Caenorhabditis elegans: one gene and its partners. The protein of the gene in region 3 purifies or fractionates together with the protein of the main gene of each other region. This does not show direct contact. Each region holds a gene or a part of one and is shown on either strand. Other genes may lie near its edges.

What was found. The genes of interacting proteins can lie anywhere in the genome.
Region 1: the proteins of pud-2.2 (region 3) and exc-15 fractionate together in Caenorhabditis elegans (co-fractionation; one large-scale study listed by BioGRID). This does not show direct contact.
Region 2: the proteins of pud-2.2 (region 3) and alh-8 fractionate together in Caenorhabditis elegans (co-fractionation; one large-scale study listed by BioGRID). This does not show direct contact.

Annotation. Positions count from the first base shown.
Region 1 is NC_003283.11:4,481,867-4,487,043, forward strand, and holds exc-15 (NADP-dependent oxidoreductase domain-containing protein), read left to right. Parts: upstream 1-1,592; 5' UTR 1,593-1,638; coding exon 1,639-1,774; intron 1,775-2,249; coding exon 2,250-2,587; intron 2,588-3,349; coding exon 3,350-3,798; intron 3,799-4,472; coding exon 4,473-4,551; 3' UTR 4,552-4,677; downstream 4,678-5,177.
Region 2 is NC_003280.10:11,727,331-11,731,698, forward strand, and holds alh-8 (putative methylmalonate-semialdehyde/malonate-semialdehyde dehydrogenase [acylating], mitochondrial), read left to right. Parts: upstream 1-1,724; 5' UTR 1,725-1,748; coding exon 1,749-1,775; intron 1,776-1,935; coding exon 1,936-1,992; intron 1,993-2,046; coding exon 2,047-2,219; intron 2,220-2,266; coding exon of another isoform or gene 2,267-2,276; coding exon 2,277-2,784; intron 2,785-2,842; coding exon 2,843-3,292; intron 3,293-3,346; coding exon 3,347-3,703; 3' UTR 3,704-3,868; downstream 3,869-4,368. Other genes in the region: F13D12.5 (uncharacterized protein), read left to right, coding at 1-119, 172-559, 607-706, 754-996; F13D12.8 (Col_cuticle_N domain-containing protein), read right to left, coding at 3,896-4,089, 4,347-4,368. UniProt on the Caenorhabditis elegans protein: Probable malonate and methylmalonate semialdehyde dehydrogenase involved in the catabolism of valine, thymine, and compounds catabolized by way of beta-alanine, including uracil and cytidine.
Region 3 is NC_003283.11:2,319,076-2,326,771, forward strand, and holds pud-2.2 (Up-regulated in Daf-2 domain-containing protein), read left to right. Parts: upstream 1-3,938; coding exon 3,939-4,191; intron 4,192-4,237; coding exon 4,238-4,449; downstream 4,450-7,696. Other genes in the region: Y19D10B.6 (Peptidase_M13 domain-containing protein), read right to left, coding at 154-267, 327-473, 598-808, 852-1,153, 1,240-1,461, 1,510-1,620, 1,921-1,977; pud-1.2 (Up-regulated in Daf-2 domain-containing protein), read right to left, coding at 2,963-3,162, 3,209-3,464; pud-3 (Up-regulated in Daf-2 domain-containing protein), read right to left, coding at 5,559-6,077; pud-4 (Up-regulated in Daf-2 domain-containing protein), read left to right, coding at 7,603-7,696.

The sequences.
Region 1 (5,177 bases), 2.2 Mb from region 3:
AAATTTTTCATAATTGCATAGAACATTAAAAACATTACAAAAAACATCAAAAAAGATGCAGCACGAGGAACCTGACATCTCAAATACACACTGAATTATGCCCTTCTCGAGTGATCTGCTTTCGGAAGATAGCTATCGAACCCGGTAGATCAGCCTCTCGTAGATCAAATATGCGTGATAGATTGAAAATTAATCCCGAAATGTTCTTTAATATTGTAGATTCGTAATCTGTGAAATCGAAGAACCACGCTATCAAGTTTTGTTTCAAAAACTGGAAAATGCTGAACCCAAGTTTAGGAATTTTAAGAAATCGTGTACTTACCTCAAATTTTTATTTTTAATTTTCAGTAGAGGCTAGTTAGACACTTTTAGTTGCTTGGCCGTTAATCAATGGAAATTTAATAATTTATACTGTACATATGTTATTTTTCTCTATTTTTTCCATTTTATTTTCGGCAACCGGTTTTTGGAATTTTTTTTGTCAGATTTTTACAGTTTATGTTCTGGATGGGATTGTTTTTTTTAATCTCAAAATTTTTGCACGTTTCAGGTTTCAATATCATTTTACATATTCAATGAGAAATCAACTTTTCTGCAGAAGCCAGCGTCCACTTCAAAATAATTTTTGAACGGTATAGCAAATTGATAATAGTTAAGATTTCAACAACCAGGCTGTCACATAAAAATTGCACTCTATAAAAAATCGGTTTTTCAAAGAATTGGCAAACGTACAGAACTGTTCATTTCAGTACGAAAGTATAACTTTTTCAAATCAAATATTTAAAAAAAATGTAGAAAATTGTTTGTTCAATCTGAAATTTTTATTCATTTTTATTTGAAAGTTTAAAAAATACCTCAAACGGTCGTTGAAAATTTCAGTTTGCTGTGAAAAATTCAAAGTAATTTTTGCACAAAACAACAATTTTAAGGCCCTATTTAAAGTTTCTTTTAGATTTTTCAACAATAAACTTTTTATTTTCAGAAGGCCTTTCCGGCATTTCTATTTTTTTTTTTTTGACTGTAAATATAACTTTTTAAAACAATTTTTGAAAATTTTTACTATGATATTTCCTAATTTTGGCACGATATTACGCTACTTCACCTTTTAAAAATTTTTAATTTGTGTCTTTTGTTGTTTTTTCATTACTTCAAACGATCAAATAATGATTTTCGAACTCACCCACTTTTCGGTCATCTGACAACACTTTTCCCCTCTTATCTAGGCGTCCTTCATTTCAACGTCGTCCACTTCCTACTACTGTTTCATCACATGAACATCTATCTGCATGTATTTCAAATTTCTGTCAATAGTCTCAGTTCTCACATTGCCACAAACAAAAACAATTGTCATGTTTTTGGAATTTGCATGAAAAAAAAGTGAAAATTGGCCTCCGCATCATTGAACATTTTCCGTTACGGTCTTTTCATCTTTTTTCTATTTTTCCGGCATTCATTTTTTGTGACTGAGCGAAAACCGTTTGTTCATCTCTCGTCTCTATTTCTTGCCGATGGTCACAAAATACCTCTTATCATTTATTTTGTTTATCATTTTGTCATCTATTGGTTTAAACGTAGCTTCTCCTTTTACATTTATCAGTTTTCTGCTTTTCGGTCATATTCATTTTGAGTATTTGCAGAATGACCGTAGACTCTATTCCATTGAATACCGGAGCTCAGCTTCCACTTTTCGGATTGGGAACGTGGCAGGTGAAGGATGAAGCTGAGCTGACTGTGGCTCTTCGTGCAGCTCTTGATGCTGGATACAGACTTATTGGTGAGTGCTGTCCTAGATGGAAACCATAATTTTTTTTTAGTCATGTTTTCTTTTCTTCTTCCATTTGAGATGTCACAAAAAAATAATTGGAAAATAAAAACCGATTTAAAAAATGTTATTTTTGGCCAAAAACGGAAAACTCAAAAAAAAAGTGGTGGCTTGCTCAAACCAGTTAATTAAATTTTTTGCACAATTGAAAAAAAACATTAAAAATTTTGAAATTTTTTTCCAACATTTTTTACATTCGGTAACTACGACCCATTTTCAAAAAACCGACAAACTTTACTCACACCTTTAACTTCAGATTTTCCCATTCAAATTCTAGGTATTTTTCTACTTTTTGACACAAATGTTGAGATTTTTTACGGTGTCCAGTTTTTCGAGTTTTCGAATAAAACCATTGGCAAAGTTGATCCTTGGAGGGCAGTTTTGACAACGTTTTGACAACTGAAAATCCCATTTTTTCAATATTCAGACACTGCTCACCTCTACCAAAACGAGCACATTATTGGAAAAGTGCTCCATGAGTACATCTCATCTGGAAAACTGAAACGCGAGGACATCTTCGTCACCTCTAAACTTCCATTTACCGCTCACGCCCCGGAAGATGTTCCAAAATGTGTGGAAAGCCAATTGAAGGCGCTTCAACTTGAGTATATTGACCTGTATTTGATCCATTGCCCATTCCCATTCAAACATCAGGAGGGAAGCTTTGCTCCATTGATGGAGAATGGAGAGCTTGCTGTTACAGAAATCGCTCATATTGATACATGGAGAGCGTTGGAGAAGTTGTACAAGGAGGGAAAGCTTAAGGTTTGTGAGATTTGGTCTTGAAGGAACATCAGCAATTTCGATTTCCATAAAGTAATTGAATCAGGGGTGGGCGGCAATGCCATTCGGCAAATTTTTTTGTCGACAAGTTCGGCAAAACGGCAAATTGCCGGTTTGACGGTTTGCCGGAAGTTTTCATTTTCGGCAATTCGCTGATTCGCCGTTCGCCATTATATAAATTTGCCGGAAGTGTTTAGAGGGAATTTTTTATAAGACGGAAGCACTTAACACTGTGTCTTTTTGAAATTTTTTCCCGTTTTCATTAAACATTTTCAAAGGATTTGCTTATTTTTCAAAACAGATGTAGAAACATTCATAGGATGCGTACAATTTTGCCGATTAAAATTGAAATTCTGAAATTTCCAAAAAAAAAAGTGCAAAACCACAATTTTTCGAAAATTATTGGCCTTTTTTCCGGCAAATTCGGTAAGCAATTTGTCAGTTTGCCGATTTGGCGGAAATTTTTAAACAGGCAGTTTGCCCGAAAAATCGTTTGCCGTCCATGTGATGAAAAGTTTGTATTAAAAATGTTCTTATTAAATTTTTTCTTGAAAATTTCCAGTGGTTTATTCAAAAAATGTAGTCAAAATTAGACCCACCGGGTGTCAGCTGCTGTAACGTTTTTTGGAATACATATACTTATAAAATTTCAGCAGAATGTAGAAAAATTAGTTGCCAATATTTTGTTAACTATCCATGTTCAAGTTACACGTAGTGTTCTTTCTCCAAAAATATAATTTTCAGGCCCTTGGAGTATCCAACTTCAGTTGCAACCAGCTTCAAGCGCTCTATGACGCCGCCGAAGTGAAGCCAGCCAACCAACAAGTCGAGTGTCACATCTATTGGCCACAACAAGAGCTCCGTGCTCTGTGCAAAAAACTCGGAGTCACTGTTACAGCATACGCACCACTTGGCTCACCAGGCAGAAAAGCTGCTCGTCCGGACGGTGTCTGGCCGGAAGGTGACCCACTTCTCGAGCCAATCGTCAAACAACTGGCTGCCAAGTATCACAAAACTGCTGCACAGATTCTCATTCGCCACCTGACTCAACACGGTATTTCGACGATTCCGAAGAGTGTCAGTCCGGACAGAATTGTTGAGAATATCTCGACGTTTGATTTTAAGCTGAGCGATGAGGATATGCACACTTTGAACAGTATCGAGACCAGAACTAGACTTTTCATCGCTGATTTGTAGGTTTTTTATCTATGGAACGAATGTTTTAAAATTAAAAAAAACCATTTCAAGTTTGAAACTTTTATATTTTTGTCGAAATTATTTCCCCTCCACTCGCTCACTTCAGGATATTTTCCCGTCAGTGGGCCGGTAAATCTTCAGTAGTCCAAACCAAGAGTGCGCTGCAATTGGCAATTTCATCAATTGCCGGTTTTGAAAAATTCCGGCAATCGGCGATTCCGGCGATTGCCGAAATTGCAGAAATTGTCGATTGCCGGACATTTTCGGCGATTTTCAAACCTAACTATATTTCGGAAATTGAAAAAATTGCAAATTGGTTTTTAGTATTCAGTTAGTCATTTTCTGAAAGAAAGCGTTAAATCCATCAAGGATTCAATCATTTTGAGCTTGAAAAAGGAAAATTGTTCCTTAAAATGCATGTTTAGGCTAAAATTATATTTCCGGCAATTCTGATTTCCGGCAACTGGCAATTTTGGCAATTGCCAGTTTTGGAAATTTTCGGCAATTGACAATTTTGCCAACTGCCGAAATTTCCAAAATTGGCAAAAATTCGATGGTCCAAACTCAAGAATTCCAGCTCAAAATTATACAATCCTATAAACAAATTAAATCACACTTTTCCTCGTGTAGTACACAAAGCTATGCAAATTATCATTGTATAATTTTTCAGCGCTGTCAAGCATCCATTCTTCCCACACGACGACATTGACACCTCCAAAGTTCCAAAAGTTGGGATCAGACTTCACTAGACTTTTGGCTCAACTTGTGAATTAGAAAACAAAATGGATTGTAGAACTCTTTATCGCACATTTCTTATTATGAATATTTGTAATTTTGATTCGAAATAATGAAGTACATCATATATATATATATATATATATATATATATATATATATATATATATATATATATATATATATTTCCCGCATGTATTTTATGGTCGAATATCAGGGGATAAACCAGTCTCGGAAGTGTTGGCGAAACAATAAAAAAAAACAGTTGATGATCGACAAATAATTGGACAACAGGTCTCGTCTCACTTCAAAAGGTTTCCGACGAAGAGGACCATCGACCTTGAGACCAAACAAACGACAGATTTTTGATTGCATAATTGAGGATGAAGTGAAGGCACTTCTTTTTTTTGGTGTGCATATCAGATCATAGGCGACTACATTTCGGCACCTCATTTGTTTCCTTACGTTATTCCACACTTAATCTGCCAAAACAGTTTGTGGGGGTACAGGTGGTGGGATTTGGAATGAGTTCCTATAAATAATTTAGGCAAATTATGAATGCTATAGGAAATTTCAATTTTTTTTTGAGATGAAAAATGATGAAGTAGAATATTTAAAAAAAAAACAATTTAAATTAGCA
Region 2 (4,368 bases), on a different chromosome or scaffold from region 3:
GGCGAAGAGAAATCTGGCCCGTTCAATGTTCGACACGACTCGACACATGCTTTACCTGGACTTTTCAGCTCCTCCATTCTACGATATCGAGCAAATTTACTTGCATGGCATTTTCAGCGGTAATCACTTGCTTAATAAGCCTGCCTTTTAATCATAATTTTTTATTTTCAGATCGATTCGACAAGCTGCACATCGCAAAGTACACTGGCCACGCTGTGAATGGACTGTTCGATTGGGTCGAGGATCCATACACCGATGCAGTTTACTACAAGGAGCGAATTAATGGCCACGTGGAGATGTTCCAAGCAAAAATCAAAGATGTCGTGCCGATTATCACCGGAAAAATGGCTGGACGACGAATCGAAAATTCCTTGTTGAGCGGCGAACTCCAAGGTGTCTCGAACGGAGTATTCTACGAGACGAGTGTGAGAGATGTCAACGAAACGCATCAGACCCTGTCCTCAACGCTGACAACACTCGATTCGGAATGGAGTATCACTTGTAACGCGGAGACGATTTACAGTGTTGTTCCGAAGACCAACAAGCTCCTCATCATCAGGTTTTGAAGAAATCATCGATCTTCGAATTTAATATTCATAATTTCAGGGCCAACGATTATTGCATGTTGAGAGATGGAAAGAATTACAACAAGGAGAGCTGTGAAAACGAGCAGGCAGACTACCTGGCTCGCAATAATCCGTCTGAGGTGAGCTGGTTGTGTTGAAGAAATTTATAAATTAAATATATTTCCAGACCGACAGCAATGTGAACGCGATGATGTGGCTGATCGTGTTCTGCGTCGTCTTAATCCTTCTCGTGATTCTCCAGTGCGTCTACATCTTTTGGCTCCGATCGTCCTTTGTCTCGGCTGACGAGGCCTCTCATCATCAGGATCAGGAGACTGAAGCCTCCATCTTCATCGCGAAACAGCGCAGCTTCCCAGCGAGTTTCCATGAGCCAGGACTTTTGGATGTCTCCGTCGACAAGTGGAATTAAATCATTTTTATTTGAATTTATAGCATTCTCGTTCTTTTTCAATCTTTTCTAGCCTTCTATCCTTCTAGACACTAGACACTGTCATATTCTCATCTCATAATTTTTAATTTTTTACTTTTTTTTTTGTCACATTTCCTAGCACTTTCTGTTTCTTTTTTTTATATAAAATTAAATATTCCGCATTTTTATTTGTTTTAATTAATGATCTTTATCTTAACGTTGTTTATTCACCAACACTATTTTATTTTTGTATTCGAGTTTTCGAGACGCATCGATCACGTTTCTCCAAGTGCACACGGGTCAAATGGTGGGCAGTTGCAGGTCTCTCCACGTGCTGTGGCCGTCTCTTAGTCTCTTGCACTATCACTTTTCCCACTCTCTGACTCTTTTTTATTTCTTTTTCTTCTTTTTTTGCTGAGAGAGAGAGAAAAGCAACTGTTCTTCTTCTTCTGTCCTATTTGCCACTCCTCCCGTCGTCTTATCAACAGCATTGAAACTTCAAAAACTCGCAGATAGAGCTTTTAACCTTTTAATTTTCAATGTTCGCGTGTATTTTGTGGCTTATTTTATTTATTTCTTAGTTCAAAATTCGAAACGTGATCAGTAATGTTTAGTTTTCATTCATTTCGCATTATCCGAATCGTCAGAACCACCACGCGACCGCCCATCTCTTGTGATTTTCAATTTTTCTTCTCGTGCGTTTTCAGTCATTATCTTCTAATTTTCAGCTCTAAAACTTGCGGTACCCCAGAATGTTGTCTCGTCTTGCTCGTGTTCAGGTAGGAGTTTCTTTTTATAATATTTTTTAACAAAAAATCGTGTACTTCACACATCACTTGCAGTCTGTGCGACAGTTGTCGTATGGGGTGACACATTGAAAAAGAAAACGAAAATCAAACAATCAAAACTTCAAAACTTCAAATAATATTCTAATTTCAGCCAAAATGCCAACAGCTCGCCCACTTCAGCACATCGAAGTCTGCTGCCGCCGCACCAGTGAGTTTCAGGCTTGATCTTAAGTTTCCAAATCCAAATTCCATAATTTTTCAGACTGTCAAGCTGTGGATCGATGGACAAGCTGTTGAATCGAAGACCACCGACTTCGTGGAGCTCACCAATCCAGCCACCAACGAGGTCATCGCTATGGTGCCAAACGCCACCCAAGCTGAGATGCAAGCCGCTGTTGACTCGGCCAAGAATGCCTTCAACACCTGGAAGAACACGTGAGTCTTGAATCCCGTGTGATCTTTTTTTTTTATTTCAATAATAGAAGTTTCCAGATCCCCACTGACCCGTCAACAATGCATGTTCAAACTTCAAGCCTTGATCAAGAGAGACATGAAGAAGCTCGCTGAGAGCATCACCATTGAGCAAGGAAAGACCCTTCCAGATGCCGAGGGAGACGTCAGCAGAGGTCTTCAGGTCGTCGAGCACGCTTGCTCCGTTCCATCCCTGATGATGGGAGAGACCCTTCCAAATGTCTCTCGCGACATGGACACCCACTCCTACAGAATCCCACTTGGAGTCACCGCCGGAATCTGTCCATTCAACTTCCCGGCTATGATCCCATTGTGGATGTTCCCAGTCGCCTTGGCCACCGGAAACACTATGGTCATCAAGCCATCCGAGCAGGATCCAGGAGCAGCTCAGCTTCTTGTCGAACTTGCCAAGGAGGCCGGAGTTCCAGATGGATGTGTCAATATTATTCACGGACAGCACTCTGCTGTTAACTTTATCTGCGATAACCCAGATATCAAGGCTATCTCATTTGTTGGAGGAGATGCTGCTGTAAGTTTTTTTGAATTTGTTTTTTATGAACATTAATCAATTTTCATGATTTTTTCAGGGAAAACACATCTACGAGCGTGGAGCCAAGAACGGAAAGCGCGTCCAATCCAACATGGGAGCCAAGAACCACGGAGTCATCATGGCTGATGCCAACAAAGAACAGACCCTCAATCAGCTCACCGCTGCCGCCTTCGGAGCCGCCGGACAACGCTGCATGGCTCTCACCACCGCTGTGCTCGTCGGAGAAGCTCGCGCCTGGCTCCCAGAACTCGTCGAGAAGGCCAAGAACTTGAAGGTCAACGCTGGATGGAAGCCGGATACCGACATCGGACCACTGATCTCCAAGCAATCCAAGGCCCGTGTCCTCCGTCTTATCGAGAGTGCCAAGAAGGAGGGAGCTCAGGTTCCACTTGATGGATCCAATATCACTGTTCCAGGATTTGAGAATGGAAACTTCGTGGGACCAACGATTCTCGCTGGAGTCAAGCCAAATATGACTTGCTACAGAGTAAGATTTTGTTTTTTTTTAAATTTGTTTAATTTAATATTTAATTTTTTGTAGGAAGAAATCTTCGGCCCAGTCCTTGTCGTCATGGAGGCCGAGAACTTGAACGAGGCCATCGAAATCATCAACAACAACCCATACGGAAACGGAACGGCCATCTTCACCAGCAACGGAGCCACCGCCAGAAAGTTCACCAACGAAGTCGATGTCGGACAAATCGGAATCAACGTGCCAATCCCAGTTCCACTCCCAATGTTCTCGTTCACCGGCTCGCGTGGTTCATTCCTCGGAGATCTCAACTTCTACGGAAAGGCCGGAATCCAGTTCTACACTCAATGGAAGACTGTCACTCAATACTGGAACGAGTCGCTCACCGAGCTGAAGCCACAAATGTCGTTCCCACAGCTCAAGTAAATTGAAATTCTGTGAATTCTGAATTCTCTCATCCATCCCCACACACAATCACTTCTTGGTTCTTTTATTCTTGTTCAATAACGTTTATTGCCATGGTTTTTTGCAACCTCTCATTTCTTGTTTGTTCATATATAATACACATTTTATCATAAAAGTGACGATTAGACCCGTAAATGGAATGGGGGAAAATAATCACAGTTCAGAGAGAATCGTATTCGAATGATTGAAATCATAATCAAAACGTGGATAGTAACTATTCGGATCGGCAATCTGTTTATCATTCCGTTTGGAACGAGCCGCCGTGGGTTCGTCGATTTCCAAATCCGATTCCTCATCCTCCTCACTATTTGAAGTTGGATCTAGCGTGACGGCGATTATGATTATACCTGGAAAATATAAAATATTATTGGGACGTAGAAAAAATGCCCAATCAACGTGAAAACGCCCTCCACGGCAAATTGAAAACGCTCCGCCTCCTAACCGTGGGTCTCATTAGGTATTCTACCAAAATTCAGCATTTTCAATTAGCTTCAAGTGGTAACTTTCAAGTTACCAGTTTTTCCTAACGAGACCCAACTATTTGAGGCGGAGCGGTTCCAATTGGCCGTGGAGCGCATTTTCTGCGTCTTCATAATAATCTAACCTGTGATAAGAAGAGCAACACT
Region 3 (7,696 bases):
TTACAGTGACGGGAGCAAGTTCTAATAGTAAGTACAGACTGTGGTACAAATTAGCGAATTTTTTAAAACTTAATCGTTCCACTTGTGTGCTCGTAACAAATACATTGGAGCATTTCAATGCCTCTGATTTTATTTTGCTGAAATATTTCTTACCTGCTCTTCACTTGCCGATTTCCTTGCCACCATCTTCATAACCATCCTTAATCCCATTATATTTGCAAGATCCTCATGAGTGACTTTTTTACTAAACCATCCATCTATTGGCTTCTGAAACCGTCAATTTTTTCAGAAGTATGTTCGGAAAAAGCCGACAGTCGCTAGCTTACCACGACATCAGAGTCACCCATCCTCTTCACTTCATCTTGTGTACACTTTTTTGCTGCTTTTGTAACATTAGGAGTCAGTAACTCTGTTCCGCTTGGATAGACAAAGTGCATAAGCTCATGGGCAAGCACGGAAACGGTGTCGGCTATCTGGAAAAGTGCAAAATAGACTCGGCATTTTCAGGTAAGTTTTTTGGTGACTGAATTTCAGATTTAAAAACCGTTAGTCAGCAAAAAATACTAGAATAAAAATTAATGTTCAATATTTCCTCACCGCTAACATAGGTTGTTGTAAATCACTTCGGGTGACAATTCCAGCATAAATAGCTGAGTTGTGCTTAAACGCTTCATTTTCCATATTCGACGCAAAAGCGGAGAACAAAAACTCTGGTTCATAGCCCGGAATTCGTTTCGCCAAGTACTTTGTCGCGGTATCAATGGCTCCTAAACGGAGGATTTTCTCCGCGATTTCGGTGTCAAGATCACTGAAGACAAATTTTAAAAGTTTGTCTTCAAATATCAACTTACTCTGACGACAATAAACTTTTGAGTCGATAATATTCCGTCTCGTAAACGAGTTTAGTTTCCTCTAGCATTGTGACATTATTATAATCCAAAAGTCCGAAAAATACTTTTGAGTTGTTCAGTTCTTCATCAAGTACCTTTTTACTTTTATTTGATAAAGAACTGCTCCAAATCTCCTCGATAGTATTATTTTTCAATAGATTGGAAATATGATGAAGAAATTTATTTTCTTCGGCGGCTGGAAGATTAAGCTGGTTGAGGACCTTGATATTGGCGTAGAGAGAATTGTAGAAAATATTTGTCAACTGGAAAAACTATGTGATAAAATAGAACAAATAGGGTATTAGCAAGATATGCTTCACCATTACTTGTCCTGAAAATAAATATTTACCGTTAGATTAACGTTTTCCAGGGTCTCCACCGCAAAACTGAATTTCTCCGAATCGTTCTTTTTGCTAATATATTCGTAATGCGTCTCGAAAAAATATTCTAAATCCACGGTGGCCGTATCCAGTGATTTAACCGTCATATACCATTTCATCAAGCGATCCGGCTCAAGAATCTGATCTAATGCGATGTAGGTCCCGTTATTCGGAAATGAGATGTTCGGTTTCTGAAAAATTGCTGGGTACTATAGGATAAATGGCAGGAAGCAAACTACCAATATCTCTCGATCATCGAATAAACTTGCGAAGTTAAGCTTAGTGATACTTCTGGTGTCATTTGTGCACACATAATCATAGAAGTCGTTGCAAGGATCCATACTAGCATTCTGAATACATTTTGTAGTTTGTAGTTTATTTAGCAAAGTCTTCCTGAATATCGACAAATTCTAGGTTAAAGTCTTGAAACTTGAAACAAAAAATGGGAAACCAAAAAATGTCGAAAATTTTGACGGTTTTTTAAAAAATTGAACAAACCGGGATCTCTATATTCTTGATTTTTTGAATAAGTCATTTTCAAAAAAAAAATCACTGTCAATTAGTGTTCGAACTTAAGTAGATTCAATTTGATAATACCGGAAAATTCTAAATTTTCAGTATTTTTTTTGTTTCTTTTTGTGATTACTTACCTCTTGTCTACTCCGCACTATAATAGAAATTAGGGTCAGTATCAACAAGAAGTTCATGCTTGGTTAGAATTAGGAGTAAAATGAGAAAAAGCATGTGTTCATTTGTACGCCACATGTCGGAGCAACCTTGTTCTTCAAGTTTATCATCTAATGTTAAAAATATCTCTAAATCGCGAAGATCCAGACCAATGCAAAAAAGAGACCGATTTTATCTTTTCAAAACTCATTAAAAAATATCAAACTTGGCAGTTTTGCTTAAAAATTGAAAACATCTGAAAAAGTCAAATGTGGAATATTATGAGTCTGTTTTCTAAATGAAGTTCAAAATCGATTTTTCGTAAGATTAAAAAAAATCAATTTGTCTCATGATTTTTCCAATTAGTACTGAATTTACCAGATTATTTTTTTGTTCAAAAAATAAAACCTGCACTTTTTGGAAATGTTTCAAACTTTAAACTACTTGAACTTGATAATGTAATTTTTTTACAAAGTTCTCAGGAATGATTTTCAGTCAACTATTTTATTCATTGGCTCGATTGAATCAAGTTTGAGACTGATCTGAATACCTGACCTGATTTTGTATTTTTATAAAAATATTTTTCAGCCAAATTAATAGACAATTTTCACTGACAACATTCGTTCAGTAATTTGAAAATATTTAGCCATTCGAAAATATGCACCTGGGTCGGGATAGCTCAGTCGGTTGTGGTGGCCGTTCGCAACCTGGGAGTCACGAGTGCAAGTCCTAGTTCCCATTTGCGCTGTCGTATATTTGTTATATTTGTAAAAAGAAATTGGACATAGTGGAAAGATAGAAAAGTGTATAAAAGGTTGAAACGGTAGATTTCCTAATACAGAAAAAGCTAAAATTCTACAATTACTGTTGATGACAATTATCTAGCTTCAATCAAAAATTAGCTTTGCTTGGAAATAGTTTTGAGAATGAATTTTATTTCAAAAAAAAAAGCTTAAGAAAAGTACTCCTACGAAGAATATCGCTGCTCAAACAGAAACTCAAAGTAACTACAAATAAAACATGAAATCAATATTTAGTGAAAGTGGTAGTCGATTCCCCACTTGGAGAGATGAAGTGAATTTCGGTTGGGAAAACACGGATCGTGGTAGTTTTTCCGTCATCTTCAGCTGTTAGCATATGCTGCTTCCATGATCTCGAGTCACTGATGAATTTCGCATGCTCTATGTAGGATTTCTTTCCGATTTGGTGACCTTTGTTATCCACTTCTGAAATTTCAAGTTCTTTATTCTCAAAAGATAAAACTCCACAAACCAGTTCTCTCCTGAACCATCGTACCATCCACTAGCCAATTGTCAACTCCAGTTGTCAAGAATCCAGTGTTATAGGCGACACTTTTGAAGATTTCCTTGACTTCATCAGGCTGGAACATCACAACATCAGACTTATCCGCATCCCATCCAGTGTATTTATGTGTCACTTGAAACTTGAAGTGACTTCCAGTCTGATTATCAATTGAAACCTTTGCAGTGCGTCTCGTGAGTTGTGGTGGAGTTGGATCAGTCGACATGATCAGTTTTCAGTCAAGAAACGATCTGAATTATCAGTTGATACGGTAACCATTTTAAACTAAACGAGGAGGTGGAGTTATTGATAAGGAATGCAAGTGATCTTCTCTCTTTGACTATTTTTGTGGTTTGATTGTTTGTGAAATTGATAAAGAACATGAAATTGAACAGTTTGCCTGTTAGTTTCATGTAGCATGAACTATGATCATGAAAATTGATCATAAAGTTGTGCTTTCTTTTGGTACACCTTTGGTTTCTTGACGTCAAAACCGCAGACACGTTGCTTGAAAATGACAAAGAACACAAAGTAATGACAGATAAGCATAGACCAAAGGTTTTATATCAGTATTGAAACATTATCTATTGACAAGTAATGTGCTTAACTCCACCCACTTGAACTGCTTTTTAAAGTCAGTTGGAAATACACGAAATCAATCGAAACTCAAGTGAGTCGATTCTCTTCAACGTTTCAAGAAATGGCAAGCGACGAACCATCAGGTGTGACAGAACAATGGGCCAAAGTGGATATTGAGAACAAAAGTGACCATGTGTTCAAGTTCCAAGTGCTTCATCAGTATACCGGCAATGCATTGGAAGCTTCAAAATGGGTGAAATTGGAGCCAAACCAAAGTGCCCAAATTCTGGAGAAAGTTCACTACAACACTGGACCATTTACAACTGGTACTGATAATTGGAAGGTTCATGGAATCAAACAGATTGAGACAAACTGTAAGTTAACTTATATTTTGATAGTTTTGAAGGAATTAATTTACAGTAGACGATAAGAATGGAGTGGTTGATGGAAAGGTTCGTATTCTCGGTGAAGCTTGGCGTAGTGGACATCCAGATGGGGCTGATTGGAAAAAACACACTTTGAGAGTAGAAGACCATGCCCAAACTACAGTAATCAAGGTTCTCGAGAAAGAAGTTCAATTTGTATCCAAGAGTGGAACATCGACTACTGACTTCTATAGACATGATGTTTAAATTTTCAGTCAATAATTCTTATCAATAGATTTTCTTTAAAAGTTTCAATAAATTTATTGTAATTTATCTAATATAATTTTTCATGCGTACCAATCAAACTTGAATTCTAAACCCTGAGCTCAAAAACAGTCCACTAGAAGTGATTTACACTTTCTGAAGTTTTCTGAGCGGGCCCTATAAAATAAAATACATTTTTGAAGAACATCATATCGAATCAGGAATTCTATTCCTTACCAGAGTGCCTACCGGTGCCTACACCTAATACGTAGTAGAGACATTAACCGTGTGAGACGTTTTACATTATGTACGCAAGTAAGTAATACAAATATGATTTTTAAAAAACGTATTGCGTTTGGAAATATATCGGCCTATTTGTGCTCAGAGACAACTTAATGTATTGAGGCAGATTGTTATGTATTGAGGCAGAACGAGGAGGCGAAGACGAGTAGTTTATTATTACATTAAACTAAGGAATAAATAAGCTAGTTCATAGAGTTCACGTTGTACGATCTTTTTAGCCACGTCGTGGGTCAATACACGTTGATACCCAACAATTTTGGTGTTACTGTAGGTGACTTCTTTGGTAAATAAAACTTCTCTGTTAAATCCTGTTACTCACTTTTTTGATCTTCACATACCCCGGTCTAATTGAACTCGAGTCACTTTATTTTCACTTCGTTTCTTCTAATCCCTTCCCCCCGCCCATTTCTCATACTCGAGTTGAAATCTTTCAGGGTTTGTCTCGGTTTATAAGTTTATTTTAAAACTAAAAAAGGTTTCTGATTCAATATAACCTTTGAATAGACATCACACTCCGTTCTGACTGAATACCAACTAATTCTGCCATGTATTCCATATCAGCAAACCAAAAGAGGCGGAACCGGCATATTGCTGACAAACAATTTTATGATCTTTCTCCTTCTCATTCTTCTTATCAGTACTTTGTGGTTTGGTTCAATGTGTTGCGATTTGAAAATACAAAGAATTCGTTATCAGTGTTTATAACTCTATCACCAATAAAATATGAAGTTGGCAACTTTAGGTTAAAGTCCACAAGAAATTACAATAATCCATTACAAATCTATTCACCATTATAACTCGATAATTATTCACTGCTTCTGTGGGTTTTGGGAGAATGGGAGGATGTTTTCTCCAAGAGTGTTGAAAGTGGTAACCGATCGTCCACTTGGCGAAATGAACTGAACCTCAGTCTGAAATACCTTGATCACAGTTTCCTGTCCATCATCATCAGCTCTTAAAGTGTGCTTCTTCCATTTAGCAAAAGCTCCATGCCCCGTACTGTATGGAAGTCCGTCGACAAAGAACTTGCCGAAGATATTTCTAGCAATAGTTCCTTCCGTCTCGACCTGGATCAATTTAGTGCCATGAACCTTCCAGTTATCAACTCCAGTTGTGAAGAATCCGGTATTATAATATATCTTCTCGAAAACAGTGATTCTATCATCTGGCTTGAAGTCGATATATCCAGAATCATTGGTTTGTTCCCCGGTGTATTCATGAAGAACTTGAATTTTAAAGTGTGATCCTGTACGGTTCTCAACGACAATCTTTGCCCAACGACGGGTGAGTTGAGGAGCCTGGGCGCATGGAGCAGATGGAGCAGTCATCTGAAATTTTAACATAAATAAAACCAATATAAATGGATAATTTTACAAAAAAAATGAAAGAAACGTTTAATCAAATTTAACAAAAAAAACTTATAAAATATTTCGTAGTTTTCAGTACCCCAGTCCCATTTTTTATAGTCCCCCGAATAGGCGTGGAAAGGATCATGCCATTTGAAAAACTATGGTATTGGTCTTTAACCTAAATTTGCCAACTCCAATTTTATTGTGATAAACATTGATAACTTCGTAGTTTCAATCAAATCTAAACACATCGCACTAAACCACGAAGTACTGATAAGAAATTGTTAAGGAAAATCTCGAAGATCACTAGTTTGTCCCGCCTCTTTCGGATTCTTTAAAAGGACTACTGTGGAGGTGAAAAATTCGGTTTTTCTAGGGGTTAGGGGGCTTTTATGTGAATAGTTAGGTAACTGACTGGGTTGTGCAGCTCTTTCCTCGGCGCATCTGAAAATTCCATTTTCAAAGAGTTTGCGAATGCTTATACTAGTTGCCGTATATTCTCTATTAGTGCTGCATATCCAGTAGTACTGCAGTCTCTAATAGTGCTGCATTCAAAAAGTGAACGAAAAATAGTGCTGCAGTCTCTATTAGTACTGCACCCCATTATCTATTGACAGAGTCACTTGACAGTTTCGATGTTTTTGGGTACTTTTTTGTATATTTTTGATAATTTACGAAAGTTATTGAATTATTGGGTCTTTTTGTTACAAAAGTTCGCAATTTTAATGAATTTCTGCTTAAGAAATGAGCTTTTGTGACTAAAAACTAGTGATCTATAATTAAAAATAGCCGTTCGAAAATTAATGCTGCAGTCTCCAGTAGTACTGCATTAAAAGAGGGCCTGGAAATTAGTGCTGCATGCAGCACTAATAGAGAATATACGGTGAATAGCTGGAACAATAAGCTTATCATTAAAAATATACATTTTGAAAAGTGTACACAATGTTCCATACCATTCGCAATGTGCCGAGAGCCGAGCCGAATGATTTGGCTCTCGGCTTTCGGATCATTGGTTCCAGGCGATCTCTACGCTATAATCACTTTTTTCAAATTTTATTTTTGAATGATAAGCTTATTACTCCAGCTATTCAATTGATATAATCATTAACAAACTCTTTCTTGCTAACACACTGAAAAAAAGGAATTTTCATATGCGCCGAGAAAAGAGCCGCACAATCCAAGTACTTAAAAGCTTGGAATTTTGAGATTTAGCCTAGATGTAGACTAGCCTCTCCTGTAAATAAAGTTTTTAGACGGACCTTTACGGCCACTGGCTCCTGCTTTTTTCAAGTTCGGGCCTAAAATATTGACTTGAAAACCTTGTGTATTGTCAGGCAAGTAAATATTTTTAGGGCCAATCGTGGAGAATAAGCCTGGAATAATAAGACACTATTAATTTAAATTTTCAATTTTTGAATATGATAATTATTTTCCCACCGAAAGTAAGCTGTAAGAAATTAGCTTCATTTGAGTTTCAGATAATACTAAATAGCCCAATTTTCAGATGGCAACTCCATCGGCTCAACCACCTCAACTAACCCGTCGAAGTGCAAAGATTGTACTGGAGAACAAAACCGGGGAGGTTTTCCGAATGCAAG